4 linked regions of the Drosophila melanogaster genome follow. The protein of the gene in region 4 interacts with the protein of the main gene of each other region in a pairwise test. Each region holds a gene or a part of one and is shown on either strand. Other genes may lie near its edges. The genes, in order: CG15083, CG8668, Peritrophin-15a and Spase25.

The links.
Region 1: the proteins of Spase25 (region 4) and CG15083 interact in a two-hybrid assay, tested with the Drosophila melanogaster proteins (one large-scale study listed by BioGRID).
Region 2: the proteins of Spase25 (region 4) and CG8668 interact in a two-hybrid assay, tested with the Drosophila melanogaster proteins (one large-scale study listed by BioGRID).
Region 3: the proteins of Spase25 (region 4) and Peritrophin-15a interact in a two-hybrid assay, tested with the Drosophila melanogaster proteins (one large-scale study listed by BioGRID).

What each region holds. Positions count from the first base shown.
Region 1 is NT_033778.4:18,833,187-18,837,448, forward strand, and holds CG15083 (uncharacterized protein), read left to right. Parts: upstream 1-2,076; 5' UTR 2,077-2,205; coding exon 2,206-2,326; intron 2,327-3,093; coding exon 3,094-3,161; intron 3,162-3,229; coding exon 3,230-3,392; intron 3,393-3,468; coding exon 3,469-3,569; 3' UTR 3,570-3,656; downstream 3,657-4,262. Other genes in the region: CG15098 (uncharacterized protein), read right to left, coding at 465-598, 779-932, 1,125-1,210, 1,290-1,476; CG15099 (uncharacterized protein), read right to left, coding at 4,161-4,262.
Region 2 is NT_033779.5:8,125,084-8,133,020, reverse strand, and holds the start of CG8668 (uncharacterized protein), read right to left. Parts: upstream 6,021-7,937; 5' UTR 5,375-6,020; exon of another isoform or gene 5,049-5,374; intron 1,735-5,048; 5' UTR 1,596-1,734; coding exon 1,109-1,595; intron 1,049-1,108; coding exon 827-1,048; intron 427-826; coding exon 1-426. Other genes in the region: CG12375 (uncharacterized protein), read left to right, coding at 6,340-7,218; CG8673 (uncharacterized protein), read right to left, coding at 7,300-7,937.
Region 3 is NT_033779.5:8,395,023-8,398,016, forward strand, and holds Peritrophin-15a (Peritrophin-15a), read right to left. Parts: upstream 1,075-2,994; 5' UTR 1,041-1,074; coding exon 1,031-1,040; intron 960-1,030; coding exon 691-959; 3' UTR 643-690; downstream 1-642. Other genes in the region: CG13385 (uncharacterized protein), read left to right, coding at 1,718-2,779.
Region 4 is NC_004354.4:11,483,696-11,487,404, reverse strand, and holds Spase25 (spase 25-subunit), read right to left. Parts: upstream 2,156-3,709; 5' UTR 2,013-2,155; coding exon 1,974-2,012; intron 1,845-1,973; coding exon 1,284-1,844; 3' UTR 839-1,283; downstream 1-838. Other genes in the region: CG33235 (uncharacterized protein), read left to right, coding at 1-636; Uba5 (Ubiquitin-like activating enzyme 5), read right to left, coding at 2,426-3,359, 3,471-3,709. UniProt on the Drosophila melanogaster protein: Component of the signal peptidase complex (SPC) which catalyzes the cleavage of N-terminal signal sequences from nascent proteins as they are translocated into the lumen of the endoplasmic reticulum.

The sequences.
Region 1 (4,262 bases), on a different chromosome or scaffold from region 4:
AGATTCGATTTAATTTATGCCCTCTGTGTGTGTAGAAATATATGTTTGAAAGCCTATCACAGTGTGTTAAGTTTTAAGGAATGGTATGTATTAACATTTTCGAATTACAAACAAATAATAGTAGCATCTCCAAACATTACAACAAGAAGCGTAAACCAAGCCCCTAAATAATTTTCCATTTGATTATTTATATAAAAAATATATATTTTTTTTTTTGCAGCCAATCGAAAAATCTTGTATTGGCCATTTCGTTTGGATATACGTATAGACACAATCGCGTTAATGTAAATATATATGATGTACACACAGATTTTCATTCTCTGATGCATGAAATACAACGTAGTATATAATTTTGGTGCTACTAGCTAGAAAAATATTGGGTTTATCGGGGAAGCCCCATTGGAAACATTCGAAAAGGGATATGATGAAATAAGAGCTGGCCAAACGGGAAGCTACACTGGAGCTTAAATCTTGGTGTAGCTGGGATAGGAGTTGGTCTGCTGGGTCGGCTGTGGGATCAGCGGGCGCTGGATCTCACGGGATGCCTGGATCTGCTTGAAGAGCGAGTAGATGCCGTAGTAGAGATACCAGGTCAGCACTGAAAACGAGCGAATGGAGAAAAATAAGCATCGTGCCCAAGCGCAATTATAGAACGATCGCAGACCGTCGAGCGATAAGCGCAATGGGGATCCACAATTTCGCAACAACGGCCAGTGTGTATTGTGTATACCCATTTCCAGATAGAGCTTATGTATGTATGAAGTGGTGAGTCACTTACAGAGCAGGCCAACATCCACGAAAATGATTGGAAGAGCGCTCAGGAAAGATGTATTTCCGATGATCTGGGCCAGCATTGCAATATTGGTGATAATTCCAAAGACAAGCAGCACTCCATTGTTGATCAGCCAGGGCAGCAGGAGTAAATGGCGTTCCTGAAAGGCAAACGCTATTAGAACCATCTCTATCTCTAGTTAGTATGGTGTATGTACATATGTATTTGCAAAGAAACTTGCCGGTTTTTTTTACAGAATAGTGGGCTTTTAAAAAGGTCTAACTCTAGATATGTACTATAGTAGACACATATATACGCGATTGTACAGATTGCATATTGATACTAGACTTACCTTAACGGTACCTGCAACCAACATGGCCGAAGCCAGAAGATTAATCACCTTGAGCGCCAGGTAAACACTGAAAACGATGATTAGCACTGCAATAACCGCAAGAACAATGAAATACAATAAAAAATATACGATTGGTTGTGGGTGCACTCGATGGTTAGCCCTTACCACTGCGAATCTCGGTGGCCGTCTTGTTAGAATCTTCCGATCCCTTGGCGATCTGCTGCGCAATTTCATCGACGAATCCGAGGGCCAAGGACAAGAGGATCGTGGCCAAGAAGGATAGAATCACGCCCAGCCATCCAATGACCACACCATAGGTGTTCAGGCGCATACAGAAGACCCTGGACAGCATTCTGGATTCACTTGATTTCGTGCTAATGCGAAGATAAAGACAATTTTACTTCAGTTCGCCGGCGCAGCAAAATTGCAATTGCTTGATAAGTCGCAATTGGCTGACAATTAAAAGCTTTTGGGTACAGCGGCGTTGCCAGACTGGTTCAAGCAGTTGGTGTCGAAACTGTGACTTGTTCACCAGCTTTTAATGTGACTTTTTAACGCTAATTGTTTAAAATTCTTTTAATAACATTTTTATATTTTAAATATTTTTATGCATTTATTATTTGGCATGATAGTTAAAAAATATTTATTTATGTATTCATTAACACTGCACAGCAGCGGCTTACTTTCATAATATTTTTCAAGGTGCTAATAGTAGCTACATTACATATATAATACAGCATTAAATCTCTCTATTATTTTAAAGACAATTCCCCATTTTATTCATTTCACTCTTAAATGACGAAACATATGCAAACAAATTCATATAGTAAATGAGTGCACATATATTTTTTAAGAACATATCAGACGTAGTTTTTCCACGCTCGAAAAAAAAGTATTTTCGTGTTGCATAGTTTACGCAACCGTTTCTTCTGAGCGGCATCGGCATTTGCGCCACACTTATTATTTGATTCTTGCCCAGTGCGGTTGTGTTTCCGTGCGCTAGGTGTTCCCAAACCGGTTTAAGTGCCATACTAGCCATATTTGTATTTGGAAAATTCGCTGTAAACCACAGAGTTTCAAAATGAAAATCGATCTGACGGTGGAAAATGGCCCGTGCAATACCGATTTGCGGAGCTGGTGCCTGGGAATCGCGATCTATTGGCTATTGAGCATGACTTTCAACGTTATATTCGCTCCAAACGGTAGGAGAAATGCGAGAGGCGTGGCATTTGTTTATTTTCAGAAGCTGATTGCCCAGACTGACGCTATTTCCATAGAGAGACAATACATTCATGATGTTCACATGCGAAATAAACGAATGAGCTAATCCATTCGACACAAACGCGTTCCAATTCACAACCATTTTGGATACAACACCTCACCATCGATGACGACATCGCCGACAAATTCGAGCTGACAATTCATTTTAGGTGGCCCGAAATGCCATTTTCTCACAGGCTTGAATTTTCCAGCACAAAAAAGAAAATTAAATAATTTCCTTGGGCTGTGCATGGCGCAGAATTAAACTTAAAAGATTATTGGGTTTTAACAGTTGAACGCCATATGTCATAAAAACACTTAAAGCCCTGCATTTGTCCATGTCTCAAAGAAGTTCTATAAACCTTATTCTAAGCTGTTTTAAAAAGTTTGTCATATTTCATGTATGAAATGTGTTTAAAATATAAAAGAAGAATTTATGTTTTAGTTCTTTATGTATATGTACACATGTACATGAAGTGCATCAGTGCATCAATATGTACTCATTATATACGAAGATACATTTAGCAGTCGTGTTCTCAAATTTCAGACGGGAAGAAAGATAAGAGCACAGCAACGTTTTGCTTGGAATACATTGAGTCACTTATAAGCCCAAGTTTATGTTTACTTTCCACTAATTGTAACGGCTTTTTTTATGAATGAAATATGTACGTTCAATAATTTCTATTTAAATTCACTTGAATCCTTGCAGTTCTTACCTTTATTGGATTTGCCATCGTAGTAGTCGCCAATATTTGCTTATTGATAGGAACCCTGAAGGTAAATAAAATACAACCCATTCCGTTTTATTGAGTCAACGAAACCCAATCTACCTTTCCGAATTGCAGGAAAAGCCAATTCTGGTGTTCGTCTGGCTGATCTTCGCTGCCATTGAAGCCATCTCCTTTCCGTTTGCCGTCTTCGGGGTTATCTTCCACTACGGAGGATATCGCGAGGCTACCGGAATGAACAACGTTTTCGGTGCCCTGCTCGTTTACATCATCACATTTCGTAAGTATCGGCTATGAACATCAAATTGAGTTAACAAAAATGTACAGATCATACATATTCTCCGCTACACTTTCAGTATTGATCCTCTTCAGCGCACGAATTGTGTACTCCTTCTACCTCCAGCTGAAAAACAGCGAAGCCAGCAAACAAACACCGCGCGCCATGAATGTGGTTTAGTCCTTATCATTCTACACTACATAAATTGTCGGGGAAGAGCCCACCGTTCGTTCATCTCAGTGTTTGCAATAAAATGCTTTGTTTTTTATTTGATTGCAGTTTGTCGTTAACGCACATCTCTTACTCACATCGACTTGGGATCAACTATCAACAGTTAAATACATTGGTTACATACATATACATACAGGGTGCTATTGGCTATTGGGCTACCGCGTTCTTAAACATTCAACATTTAAAACGATCGATCACACTACGGACAATTATATACTCTCGACACAGTTCTCTATCTATATAGCTAGCTATCATACTCGGCATCGTCTTCTGCTCCAATCTGCTTACTTAGACATAAAATGGAAAGTTGGTCATCTTATTGTTGCTGCTGTTATTGATGTTTTGCGACTGCGTAAAGCTCGTCTCGGCATTTTGGGTAGTTAGCTTAGCCTGCACGGCCGCCAGTATTCGCACAGCCTGGCCAGTACTGCCCGACTCCATGGCAGACTCCATACCTAGGTTCAGGTTCAGCTTGAGCTCGAAGTGTGACCCACTCGCTTGGATCTGCGACTGCGTCTGCCGTTGGGCAACAGCCGGTTTTCATCTCGGCGTGGTTATGCTGGGCAGCTTTTCCAGAAAATCATTGGCCAATACCTCTTCGATCTCCTTCAAGCAATTGGCCACATCGTTCTCCGTATCGGC
Region 2 (7,937 bases), on a different chromosome or scaffold from region 4:
CTAGGACAAATGCCATGCCCACGTCCCTTCTCGTCCCGTAATGCATCCAAGTCTGCCGGATGGACATGCGGGCTGCATCGTGAGACATCGCTGAGCTAATAAGAACCAGGAGCTTAATAAACTCTCCGCCTTTCGGACATATGCGCTCCGCATCGATCTCCTCATCCACGTGGCCTGGCTCGTAGAGTGTCTCGGTGGCCACTCCCTTGGAGGGATCTACAGGAGCACTTGGCACCTTGCTCTTCGTCGTTTTCACAGGTGGCACTGGTGGTTTTGCGGATTTTGGCAGAGGGACTGCCGCCTCTTTCTTGGCCTCCTTAATTTCCTGTATCACCTTGGATTCCGGTTCCTGCTTTTCGGACTCAACGCCCGAGACTTCCAGTTTACCGTCCACTGCGTTGAGTTGTGCCATATCCGATGGATTGCCTTTATTTAGAAAGATAAACCACACCATTAATTGAAATGCAAACAAACACTCAAGCGAATTCTAGTCCGTCCCCATAGACATCTGTTCGACAGTAATCCAATAGTATGAAACAATATGTCATGTTTACAGCTCTTTCATAATGAAACACGAAACCTGGTCAAATAAGCGGACTGCACATTTCATTCTCCATTGTCGTGGAGTTATACAAATGGGTGCGCCGCCAGCGGGTCTTTGTCTAAGCAAAACAAAACTAAGGCAAATTATTACGCAAGATGAAACAGAAAGAGGATCAATTTGAAGGAGCAACTAAACTGTTTATCGATCTGGTTTAACAATTTGAAACCTGGATTAATAGGTCTCAAAGGTCTAGCGCCCCCTAAGTAATAGTATAATAATTACCCGTGCTACTGTTCGAAGTGATGTTCTTCAGTATCCTATCGGCGTTCTCAATAAACTTTTGCAAATTGGAAGTGGGTATGAGGAGGTCGGCATCGGAAAGGCCTGGCTGCACCTGCGACTGTGACTGGGGCAGTTGTTGTTGTGGTGACTGGGCGGGAATCGATTGTTTAACAGCCAACGTGTCGGCAGAGCTGTTGTTGTTGGTGCTACTGTTGATGTTGCCTGTGGAATAAACATTATTAGCTTAATTAGCGTCTAAGTCTTAAGCGCACCCACTCTCACCTGTGATGCCATCAACACTCTGACCATACTGCTGCTCCTCCAGCAGCTCATCCGCCATAACATTGGGCGTTTGGTCAGGGCCACCAACCTGGGGACTGGCGCCCGCGGAGCCACCGTCGAGCAGAGCATCCTCGTCGATGGTGGGCAGGCGGTGCTGCGGATGCCTCTTGTGTATCTCTGCCTGTTGCGGCGGTAATTGTTGCGAGTGTCTGCTGGATACGCTTTGCTGCTTAGACGAACTTTCACCAGGTGGCGAATTGTACTCCTTATCCGTGCTATTGACTGGCGGCACTTGGTCCATGGGCTGTCGCCCAGGATGACTGCCAATCAGCTGCTGTGGCGGTGATGCCGCAGGGTGCACATGGTTCGCTGTGAGGGTGCTAGTCGTTGAGTACGAGGCGTAGATGAAAATGGTTAGGATCACCACGATTAGGACTAAAAAGAAGCGTAGCATGCGCGTGTTGTGAAGATTGGCCATAGCCGCCATGGTGGCACTTGCAAAATCTCTCAAATCTCAGTCAGTCTAGGTCTCAGTTTCAGTCTGGACTCCGCTTCTCGTCTTCAATTTGTGAGTATTATGATAACGATCCCTCACGCTTGCGATTCCGACAACGAATGCGATGGAACTGCAATGAGAACGCAACGGAAATAAAGGTAAATAACTGATTCAGCTGATTTGTTATGTGCTCCGATGCCCGGCGCTATAAGATATAGAAGGAGAGAGGGCGCACTTCTGTCCAGCGATTAGATCATTATTTCCGCAATAATAAAACGACAATAATAATGGCAATAAAAATTCGTTCAAAACATTTAAGTGTATAATTAAATCGTAAATATTTTCTTATCCAATATAGAATGGTATTTCAAAGTCGAGTATGGCCAAAGACTCAGTTTTGTTGCTTTTCTTACCATTGGCGAGGAATAATGCAAATATTTGTGTAGAGAGTGAGCTAGTTGGAGTTCACTACAAAAATAAAGATAGCGTCTTATGTACTTTAAGAAACGTTTACAAAAGAACACTTAAACGTAATTAACGTTTTGTTTCATTTTTTTTTTTGCACAATATTTTTCAAAAATATAGTAAAGTCGATGCTTAGTTTTGAACTGTGTGAATGTGCTATTTTATTTCGGAAAACACGAGCGAAGGGCTTGGCTGTTTTGCATGGTAATGGGAGTGACGAACTGAAAAGCATTTGGGAAGTTTCCGTGGGCTAATGAATTTGCCAGAAAAAGGAGAACACACGCACAGCATCCAGAATCGTCACGACATCGCCATCGGCTCTGTCTCCACTTTGCATGCGCTCGAACAAGTCAACAACAGTCTTGACCCTATTCCGCGACTCAAGAGAACCCCAACGGAGGCAGAACAGAGCTCAAAGCACCGGACAGACTCATGCTCCATGCTCCAGGTGGCAGCGAACGAACCACTTGAGTCGCGTTCCATGGCCGCCTGGTCGATAAGATTTCTTATCGTTCGATCCCATCTGGGTATTTCAGGGCTTTCTCAGAATTCCAGTAGTCTTTATATGTATATCTATAGATTTATTGGGCATTTCTCTAGGACGCCATAAAAATAATGGTAGTAGTTTGCGACAGCTCGATATAAAAATCAATAAAACAGCAGGACTCAGAACCTCGTAACTCTTTTACCAACTTTCGATTTGGCCCCGAACCGTCTTGAATAGTCAATGAAAATCCCCAAGTGCGTCACTCTGGGTAACTGTGCTACCTTAATTGTTTGTCGATAAGCCAGTTCGTATCAATCTTATAACACAAATCTTATCTGGTTGTCTAGCGGAGAATGGTAAGTCATATATCTTACTCAAATACCTCATACTAAAGATGTTTATTTATTTGCACAGAATGTTTGTTGGCTAATTAATTATTTTCTTAAAGCCAAAAATATGTTTTTGAGCTTGATTTGAGTTTAATGCGGATTTTATCATAGTTTCTTTATTTGTTTACACGTGCCTAGATATCAAATAACTGTCAGGAAATGACGATTGAAACATTTTTGCCAAAACATCACTTATCTTACTTGCTACCTTTTACCTATGATTAAAAATCGTTTTGAAACCATTTAACAAGTTTTTGAAACTTATCTTATCTGCTTTGCAGAGGTGAAGGAACACCTTAAGTCGCAATTCGACAAGGTAAAACCCAATCGAATTAAAAGTTGTGTCTGCTTCTTTTTCTTTCGATAGAATGAGAACCTTTAAAAAGATGCAATTTATATCTTTTATTAAATGCAACACAAGCATTTTCATTATTGGTCACTTGGTCAGGCAAGTTAAACGCAAGCTGATAAGACAATGGCTAACTTCTAAGAATTTTAGCTTATCAATTAATTATAATCACTACAAATTTACTGTTCCACAACATTTATTATTTCTTTATTGCGATAATGCTATACTGATATCCACACAGTGACATTTAATTAAAATAGCTTCGCGAAATATTTTATCAGTCAAATGGGCTGATCAACTTCATCGATGTGGTCTGGTTTGGTCAACTGTCTGCCGGGAACCGGAAAGAATAGCCACGAGTACGAGCACAATGGAATTTTTTTTGGGGGGCTAAATCCGACAATGTCGTATCGTGTTTTTATGGCTTATCGTGAAGCTGAACGGACGGACGCACACATAGTACAGCGAAATTCTATTTCCATTTAGATCCGCAGCGTGACGTGCAGCGCATTGATAAGAGATAACCCTTTGTTTTTCCATCAAGAGTGAAAGTGTGACTTATCTTGTGCGATGAGACGATGAATCACTCTCTATGCATTGGTTAATTACAGTTTATAAATCGTTTAGTATATGTGCATTTTACTTTGAATTTCTGTAATAATCGCGACCCGTTTCTTATCAGACTTTCATTTCCCTTGCGGGATATAAACATTAAACATACATGTTGAATATGCTATGAACTAAAGGTTCTATTCTAGCAAGTCATATAAAAAAAATAAACTTTTTATCAGCCCAAACTTTGGTTTCTCTTCATAATTAAATCTATAAACAGTAATAAATTTAATGTTCTCCATGGATTTCTAACCAGTTCCCATAACTCACTAGGCATATAATTGTTCAATTTAAAGAACTTTGACTGTAATTGTTCCACATGTTTTAGCAGTTGCTTTTAGTGCCTTGTAATTGTGTGCAAAATTACCAAAGAGCCGTGAAATTTGACGAGAGCGCGTAATTTGATGAAGTGTAACTCGGATTCAGCGGAAAAAGTTGGAGGCTTCGCGAGGGGAGTGGTGAACGGAAGTGGATCCAAGCTTCCAATCCGGCTGGCGGTCGGTTATATTTTTTTTTTTTTCGTGGCCCCACTCCGACTCTGCTAATAAGTACAATGAACCGCAGATAATCGCCGGTTGGACGGCAAACGGGTTTTCGGGCGTCTTGAAACTATCTTCATCTCCAACGGCCCACTATCAATCACAGTTTCGACCAGGAAGATTCAGCTGGACTCCGGATCGTGCTAATGAAAGTCTTCAAAAGAAATTGCAACGAAGTACCTATAAATTTCAACTAAAATCTGTATTCCTACCAGTTGGCAGTTAACAGCGCCGTTTCATTTGTTTTTAAAACACCGAGTTCACAAAAAGCTTAATCACATAGATGTGCGTTGCATTGAAACAAGTAGAAGCAAAGATCATTTGACATTTAACTTTCCCGCAAATCATTTTAAATGCAAATTGAAGTAGGGAAATAAAAATGACTCTTCAAACTCATTTTTGTTGTGCTCTCAAGAAGCTAAACTTACTAAGGAACTAACGAGAAAGCGGAAACGTCTTAGCCTACAAATTCTAAATCTTGCCTTGGTATTCTATTCGTTGATAAGAAAGTTGTGGGAACGCATTTCTGGTACTCTACAGAATATTGTAGAACTTCGAGAAATTAACGCTAATGAGAGGGTAATAATTTGATTTCTTGCGTACATTTGTTCAGAAATCGAGCATTATTGCAGTCCAAGCCAGTGATACGAGGAACGCCACATCGACGTGGAGGTTAGGTGGCGTTAATGAAACCTCCACTTGACTTGGGCTAACTGGTGGTGCAATGTCCGGCCGTGGAGTTTGGAAATGTGCGCTCGTCGGTTGCTTAAGCAGACGTAAATGTGTGTTAATAAAATAACAGAAAAAAAAAAACAACAAAACAAAAACCCTAGGCAACGACGCATCGTCATCGTTGCGTCGCCGAGTCTCGTTGTCCATCCGAAATCTTGGAATCTCCGGGCAGTCAGACTCACTCATTATAAACTTACCTCCCAGTGCGGTTTAGCTGCGTCTCCCTTCCTCGTTCGCTGGAATCTGAGATGGTGCTATTGTTGGACCAGGGTCAAGCATAATTACTTGCTTGCCTGCTTATTTTTAGTGCTTATTTAACGTTAATAAATATGCCTTTTGTTGACAATTAGCGATGATGAATTGCTATCGTTGTTGTTGTTGTGGTTACTCTTCTGTTATCCTAATTTGTGTTGTTGTTGCTGTTGCTGGGCCCCAGGCGCCACCACGGAAATCGTGTGGCTTGGGGAATTTTTTCTTTCTGGTTATAGTTTTGCGCGTATTTCGGCATTAATCGATTTTAATAACGCCAGCCCGTTTCATTAGTCATGCGGGGCATGTTTTATAAATAAATAAGCATTAACACCTTGGCAAACGAAGCGATTTGTTGTTGTTGCTGCGAAGCAGTTTTTGATTTAATTTCGCGTTGCCCTCGATTTTTTTGGAGGTTTTTCGATTGCAGCCTGCTGATGAAACGCGGCTTTTTAACACTTTTAGGGCTTTGCACAATTGGCTGCGTTACAGCGGACGCAAATATTCTAATTTTTTCCTCTTTTTTTGTGGGAACACCATTACTCCCACTTCCGAAAACCAAACCGATTTTGTTCGCGATTAGCTCAACATTAGTGATGTAAAGCAACATCGATAAGTTAAAAATTTATGTTTTTACTTTCGATAAGTCGATAACTGTGCTAAAATGCATATGTTATGGTCACCCTATGACGGTTAACAGCACTGTAGACCAACAGCTGTTTAATTTGCAGCAATATAATAGCGCCTTTCTTGATAGGACCAAAGTTCATTAAAACCCCGAAAAAATTGGACCCTAATATTATTTTCCTTAAGTGTTTCATTTCCCTCCTTAATTTATGTAACTATAACGCAAACTTCATTGTGCATAGTAATCGGAATACTTATCGCTTTCTCAGATTTAGTGAACGAAGAGATGGCGCTGATTCCGGCTGTTACCAGACTCACCTCCTCCGTAATTCGGATACTGGGTTGTAATCCCAGTGCCATGACGCTCCAGGGCACCAATACGTACCTCCTCGGCAGTGGCAGTAGGAGAATCTTGATCGACACTGGTGACGAAGACGTGCCGCAGTACATCGCTCACCTGGGAGATGTGCTACAGCAGGAAAAGGCCTCCATCGACACCATCCTGCTGACCCACTGGCACCACGACCATGTCGGCGGTGTAAAGAGCATTGTGGGTACTAAATTGGCCGAAAAGGATTGCCGCGTATTCAAGTTTGGGCGTACAGATGCTCCAGATGTGTGCCCCGAGATACCGACGGATATCAAACTCCATCCGCTAGCACACAACCAAGAGTTCACCACGGAGGGGGCGAATGTGCGGGTGGTTCACACACCCGGTCACACCACTGATCATGTGGTGCTGGCCATGAACGAGGGCACACTCTTCAGCGGCGATTGCATCCTTGGCGAGGGCACCGCCGTCTTCGAGGACCTATTTGAGTACATGAAAAGCCTGGAGAAGATACTAGACATCAAGCCGCAGCGTATCTTTCCAGGCCATGGCAATGTCATTGAGGAACCAATTGGCAAGATTGAGTACTACATTAACCATCGCAACCAGCGAGAACAGCAAATCCTGCAGTTCTTCGTTCAGCGGCCCAACGAAAACTTGCAGGCTATGGACGTCGTGAAGGTGGTCTACAAGGAGACACCAGAAAACCTCTGGCCCGCCGCCGCCTATAACGTGAACCACCACCTAAGCAAGCTGGAGAAGGAGGGAAAGCTGCGGGTCAGCAAGTCTGCGGATGAAGAGTTCTATGTGTACCAGCCAACCAGTGCGCTCTAAATTCTTGATTTTCCTTTTTTATTTTGTTGAGCGTATATAACTATTTGTTTGTAAAAAATTGTTAAATAATTTTCATTTTCTTTATACCTGGTTATCACACTTTATGGTGTCGTCTAATAACATATTCCACAAGGTAAACTGCTCGTTATTCCTTACCATATGGATGGTAATTTTGTCGCGGATGTGGCACGTCTCGAATTTCGTCCGGGTGTTAGCCATCTCGCGCACATTTACCCGCCGGATGTTCAGACTTTCAGCCACAATGCCCGTGGTGAAGACATCTTCCAGCTTTAAGAATGCAGTATTCAGGGATTGGACATACAGAGCGTGAACAATGTCACCAGTGAGCAAGTAGGCGGGTCCGGTGGTGAAGTAGGGAAAGGTAGGCTTTCCATACTGAGCGTTGGATATGTGATATTTAGACCACCTGTTTCGAATGGGTTTCCAATTTTCGGCCCGTCGTCCGTAGATCGTTCTATTGGCTTTAAGCGTGCTAATGAGGGTCAATAACTTCGGCACGTTGATGAACATGTCATCGTCCGTCTTGAGAACGTACTTAGCCTTCGGACAGTGAAGATCAGCCCATTCCAGCAGAGAAATGGTCTTCAGAGTGAGATTGTTGTACGAGTCTATGAAGTGTCCTCTTATCAGATCCTGGTACATAAAATCCTCCTGATCAATGGCCTTCTTCACCGATTTGTTTTTGCCTTTTCCCAGGA
Region 3 (2,994 bases), on a different chromosome or scaffold from region 4:
TTTAAAAATAATCTCATGATCACGATTGGTATCTGTATCTCGACAATTCGAACATTTGACGCCGTCGTACAATTCGTTTTCAAACAAAGAAGTATATTTCACCAAGTGTTGTAGTATACTTAGTTATGATATTAAAATATTATTGAACAAAAAATTTGCATATGATTTGTTTGAATTGACCGGCTCCTATTTAGACAATTTATACCCTGTAAAACTTTACACACTGAGACACAGTGTTTTTGAAATAAACAAACAAATTTTGAAACCAAGCTCTAGTTAAAAAATAAAGTTGTTTGTAAAATTAAAGTATATTGTTTATACTTTATATGATAAAGTATAATTTACTTTTCTCTCGTTCATAAACATTTTATTGCATTAAATGCAAATTAGTAGCAATACGAGTACTGTCTAATCTTTATAGGTTTCCAAGATATCATTTGGACAAAAACATCTCAAAAATGTTATTTACAAATAATAATGAAACTCGTTAACACTCAACTGTACTCAACATCCTATAGAAAGCGACTGAGCAGAAACAAAATATTCTATATACCAATCTAGGTTGCTCTATAACATTTTCCCATATCTTCGAATACTCGCAAGAACATGAGATATTTTAAAAATCCAAACAATGTATGTAATCATTTAGTTTGCCATATATTTTCATTTTTGTTGTTATTAAAAATGCAATCAACAGTAAGCAGTCCAAGACCATTCGCTCCATGAAACGCACTCCTTCTTTGTGGGGTCGAATCCAGTGGACAACGGGCACAACACAGCCGTGGCCGTGGAGGTGGAGGACTCACACCACCAGTAGCGAGTGGGATCCCAGAAGTTGCGGATGTTCGTTTGCACGTTGGATGCGTCGCTGCAGTCGGGCTGGTTGTCAGAATTGGGATCGCACGCATTTCCGGTGCTTAGGAGCGCCACGAAGAAGGCAAGGCAGATCAAAAGTAGTGCTATGGGATCGGCAAAGGGTTGAAGTATATTTCAAATGGGGATTCCTTTTCGATTTGCTCAGCTAACTTACCGGACTTCATGGTGCAATTGAGTTCCCACTGGTTTCGTAAGTGTGCTTTAACTGGGCGAATTCGCAAGCTTATATACCCCAGACCGGCACTGATATTGGCTTTCATCAATAGCAGTTATCTCCGTTGGCGGGAAGCCTGTGCGAAATTCTATTTTGGCAGCGACATGAAATCGTTTCAAAATAATCGCACCTTGTATCGCCCACCGTATCTGTATCTGTATCTCAGCGCATTGTACGCGCCCCTAAGTTTTGTTGACGCAATAGTTTGATTATATGGATGTGTCGTAAAGGTCATGCCGCGTGCCACAATCCAAACTGGGTAGCACTCCTATCAATAAGTTAAATATAGTACAAAACTAGGACAGTAAGGTTTATAATCGAAATTTAAATTTGGGGGCTTCTATTCAAATACCTAATACTTAACCGTGGGGAACCCCACATTCTTAACGCAAACAAGTCATTAGAATTACGCATTTATATTTATATTAATATACTACCCTTAACTGTTGGTGATAGCACTACCGCACTACTAACCTGGTTTTTAATCAACCCATCCGCTATACCGTATACCATACATATCGAAATATAAAACTCCAAAATATAACATTAAATCGCAGTAGGTGTCACACAACTAATTATTTGCGATATTAATGATTACAAATTGCTCGTGATAAATCTCCCATAGCGATGGAGTCGAGGGTCACCAGCGGCACAGGTCCACCGAACACCATTATGATCCAGCTGGTGTCCCAACAGCCCAGTTCCTGTGGACAGATGCAGGCCATGCCCATTTCGGTGCAGACGATACCCTTGTTCCCCAATTCCAGAACATCGACAGAGCGACCTTGTCGATCGGTCTCCATTGCCCCGAATGTAAGACCTCCAACGGATGTCCCTCCTCCTCGAAGGAATTTAAGAATCCGACCCGAGGAATATGCGACACCCAAGCGGAAGAATTCGCAAAGCCAGTTTCGTCATTTCTCCCGCAGCATAAACCAACCTCCACCGGTGTACTATGTTCTTCGACCAGAAGACCGTATTATGCCCATCTACATACCACCTCCGAGGTTTAACAATGAGCAAGGATCAAGGATGGCGACGGAGTGTCCTTGCTGTGGCCATGCCAAGTCATTGAACCCGGAGGAACCTCTAAGAGTCCACGTAGCGCAGAAAGAGTTTGTCAAATTAGAGAAGGCAACTCCTGGACATCGGGATCAATGTACTAACACCATTGACCAGCCAGATGTGGGAAATATAAGGACGATTTACGAAACATTGGGACGCGCAATGGTCACTGCAGCCGTGGAGGCAGCCCAGAGATCCCAGCCAGCAGGACCCTCAGATCCGACAAATGTAATATTGAAACTATTAACCCAATTGGGGGAGCAGAATCAAACAACAGGCTTGAGTCCACATTCAGAAGCAGTAGCAGAAAGTCCCGACCACCAACCACATATGCGCAGGCCCAAAGCTAGCTTTACGGAAGCAGTCCGCATGATGGAGAGGACCTCGTCTGATCCTTCCATTGCTAAAGGGCCACCAGATGAGCTAGATGACCAACGTAGGCTTCCATCTGTACTCTCCGATGGTCGTCTTCGCGTCGAATATCCGAAAACGCCTAGACCAACACCAACATACTCCGTCGAATCTGAAAACACCCTCAGTAATCATATGTCCTCGGAGAGATTAAGACTCGATTCTGGTTCCTCGCCAAACCTGGGAAACTCCATTGGACATAGCCAAGCGTAGCAATGAAATGATCTTCACCGAAGTACCCTAGATCAGAATATAAATTATCTTCCACATGACCATAAATAAACTGCGTTGAAGCTTTAATAGTTGCGAATCCTTTGGAATCAAGTAAATAATTCTATAATGCATATATTTTAACCCCCTTTTGGGAAATCAAAGTGTTGTTTATTGCGGCAAAGTTCTTTGACTTTTTCTGTGACGTTGCTCTCAAG
Region 4 (3,709 bases):
CGTGCCCACACCGAGGCTGTCGGTCCTACCACGCCGAAGCCATGGGCTCCTGTTCTGGCAGATAAAAAGGATAATGACTATCCTTATGGAGGAAAGGAATGGGCTCGTAAGTTTTTAGAGAAAAAGAAAACCAAAGCAGAGGTGGCTAACCCTACCCTAGCCGAAGTGTCGCCACAGGAAGATGAGAGCAAAGTGGTGAAGGAGCTGCTGGAGACGCAGGAGCAGCTGGACATGGTAGAGGAGATGGAAAGGAAGGAAATGGAAAAGGAGAAAATTGATGAATGGCGAAAGACATCAAAGCAAGTCCTTGAGAAAAATAAGAAAGAGGAAAAGCTAAACTTGCAAAAGCCGAAGATGGCCAAGGGGAAAGTGCAAAAAAAGAAGTCGAAGGACCGGCAATGCGGGAAGACACTAAAGATTGCTAAGGGAAAATTGGAGGCTCTAAAGACGGCCAAGGATACAATGGCAGCAAAGGTGTTAGAAAAGCAGATGATTATGAAAAAGAAAATGGCCCAGAAGATGTCAGAAATTGAGGCTTTGGAAAGACATAAGAAATATGTAGAAATTAAAGAGAAGATGGTAATGGGAAATGGGAAAAGGAACCGTAGTGCCCCATACAGATATCTGAAAAAATAAAAAGATGATGATGACAAAGGAAGCCGGAGCGCCGCAGGAAGAAGGTCAAAAACACTCGGATTTCTGGGTACACTTGGATTGGGACATCTCCACATTGTGAATAAATATAATAACAAATAGAATAATCTTTTAAAAACACATGAGTTAGTCGTACATATAGACTTTACATTACGTACATTACTCTCTTGTAGCCAAAATCTTTAGTATGTCACAAATATGAGCTTTTGGAATATAAAAACATTGATATATATATATAAACGTTTTGACATCGACAACTCCCAATTTTGATGTTTAACTTCTGGGAAGGCAGCCAGGTTAAATATGGAATTAATATCAATGGCCTTATCAGCGCAATATGGGTTTCCCCATCGCCGCCAGTTCCAGTTTGGGCACCCTCTCCTCTTCCTCTGCCGCCACCGGAATCCCCGCCCTCTTAACTTTTAGATTTTTGCAGCTGAACCCATGAAATTATAATAAAATAGTCCACAAATCATTGGTTAAGTTTCTATCAGATTCAGACAATTTATGTTAAGCTGTAAATCAAAGAATTCATTTTATATTATAGTTTTTCCGCTTATTACAAAAGACAAACAGTCGGCTTACCACAAAAGTGTACAATTTAATGAGACAAAAGTGGGGAATTTGGTTTAATTAGAAGAAAGGCTGCTAGCGTTCTTCTTGTCGGCAGCTAAGGCGTTGAACAGACGGTTGACCTCGTTGGCCACCAGGTTGTCCAGGACGATGCCATTCTGATCGATGAAGGCGGCGCACGACTTGTTGCTGCTCTGCTCGCGCCGCTTGCCATTTTTCGTGTCGCGAACACTGAGGGTCAGCAGGTACTTGTCGTCGTACTTGCGCATATCGGAGCTGGCCTCCCACAGGCGCTCCCGCTCCTTGTCCTTCTGCAGGGCCACCGCAAAGGTGCCCTTCTCGCGGAAACTGGAGTGCAGGGTCAGAATGCCGAGGAGTGCAAAGTAGGCCAAAACACTGAAGAGGAGCACTGGACGGGATTCCGGGAAGGGGTGGGTGAAGTCCCAAGCATGGGCCATTATAGCCACGGAAACGGCGAGGGCGCAGAGGGCCAAACGGGTGTTGACCAGGCCGAATTGCTCCTTCAGCTGGGGACGATCGCCAAGGAGGCAGGTTTTCACTGCATCATCGAGGGCGTGCTTCACTGCGGATCCATCCCACTTGTTGACCTTCACCAGCTGGCAGGGCACATGAAACAGGATGGAGTTAGTTTATGCACATATTCACTTAGTTTACATTTACATTCTACAATGACGTGGAACACATCTTAATGGACCAAATGCCAAGCCGGCAACCGGTTTACTCACCTCCTCGCCTTGCTGTGACTTTTCATCCTTCTTGCCCATCTTCTATCTGCTCTCTATTGTGTTTTGATGCCCTTGATTTCCAAGAGAAGTTTGCGAAATGCTCAGAAAAACTCTTTTTTCTTTTTTCAGGAGTTTTCTTCGTTTTTGTGTGACAACGCGACAACAAAATTGTCAATCGTTATCGCTGCCAATCGATAACGGACTAGTTGACCGTGCTGCCAGATAGGGGAAGCTTAAAATACTGAAATACTAGAAACTGCAAGAATTGAAATTTCCCGCGTAATTCAAATAATTTTGAGCATAAAGCATTTAATCAAGTGACTAAAAGTTACTATATATAAATAAATAAAAAATGGCTCGGCCCAAGTTTTACACAAATCGAAGCTGAGTTTATCAAAAAAAAAGTGTGTGTTTTACAAAAAGTGTCTATAAATACGGAGTACGGAATCAATTTACATGGACTTCATTTGCGCCATCAGGTCTTCCAGACTGGTTTCGTCCGCGGTAGCTGCAGATACAGTTTCCTCTGACGTTTCGCTGGACTTCTCAGGAGCCTCGTAGGCGAGCCTCAGCCCTTCACCCATCACTGGGGTTTCGGCGGGCGTTGTATTACTTTCTGGCGCATCCTCGGCGACCAGTTCGATGCCCCATTCGTTGGTGGCATGCAGCGGCTCTTCGCTGACTGCCTTCTCTTCGATCAGCACAGGTTTGGGCCTGGCTTGGAACTCTTTTTGCCGAACTAAACAGTTTCTGTCATCGCACTGCGGATTCGGTTTGAGCGTCATCTTGGGAAAGAAGTCGCTAAGGGCATTGTAGCCCAGATAGTCAGAGACCTCGCCGAAATTCAGCAGATACTTTAATGCGTTCTGGACAAGGAAGCCAGCCGTAATGCCCATAGTTGTGGGCAATGAAGCGGCGCACACGCCCTCTCTCTTCAGCGTCTTCTCGTCGATGTTCTCGGCCACCACCAAGGGTGGTGCACAAGCGAAACAGGCGGTATCGCCAGGACGGATAAACTGAATGTGCCCCGAGACGGCATTTTCCGAAACTCCCGACTCAAACCAGTTGAGATTGCGTTCATTGCACGCTGCATTGATTGCCATTCGTGCCTCAAAATTGTCCACACAGCTGAGCACCAGATCCACCGGCTGGCCAGCTATCCGTCCGCCCTGCGATATTGTGTCCAGGAAGCGATCAAAGTTCTCCACCGTTGTAATATTGTAGTTGTGCGTCTCAATCTCCACGTCCGGATTGATAAAGCTCAGGGTAGCGGCGGCGGCCGCAACTTTGGAGAGGCCCGCCTGATCGGGCGTAAAGAACAGTCTGTTCATGTTGGCCAGCTCCACTTTGTCGTAGTCGAAGAGTATCAGTTTGCCAATGCCGCAGCTGCAGGAAATCAATTGATTAATACATAGCCTTTAATTAAAGACAACATATTTGGAGTGCTAGCTGTGGTGCACAATGACTGTTGCCCTTCTCTTCTTGTTGTGCACGCACCGTGTAAGCATGTCGGCGGTGACGCTTCCCACGCCGCCCACGCCCACAATGGCCACCGCCTTGTAGCGAATGCGCTCGTAGTCCTTGACGATGTTCATCCGCTGCAGGGCCATCAGGCGGCTGTACGGATTGGAGTCCACCACCTCGGCGGACATGCGATCGATGCGATCGCGTGCCAGGCGGCTGTTGCTAGCGACGCCGCCACTGGATTTCGGCTCCGTCTCCAGCTCCGTCTTCAG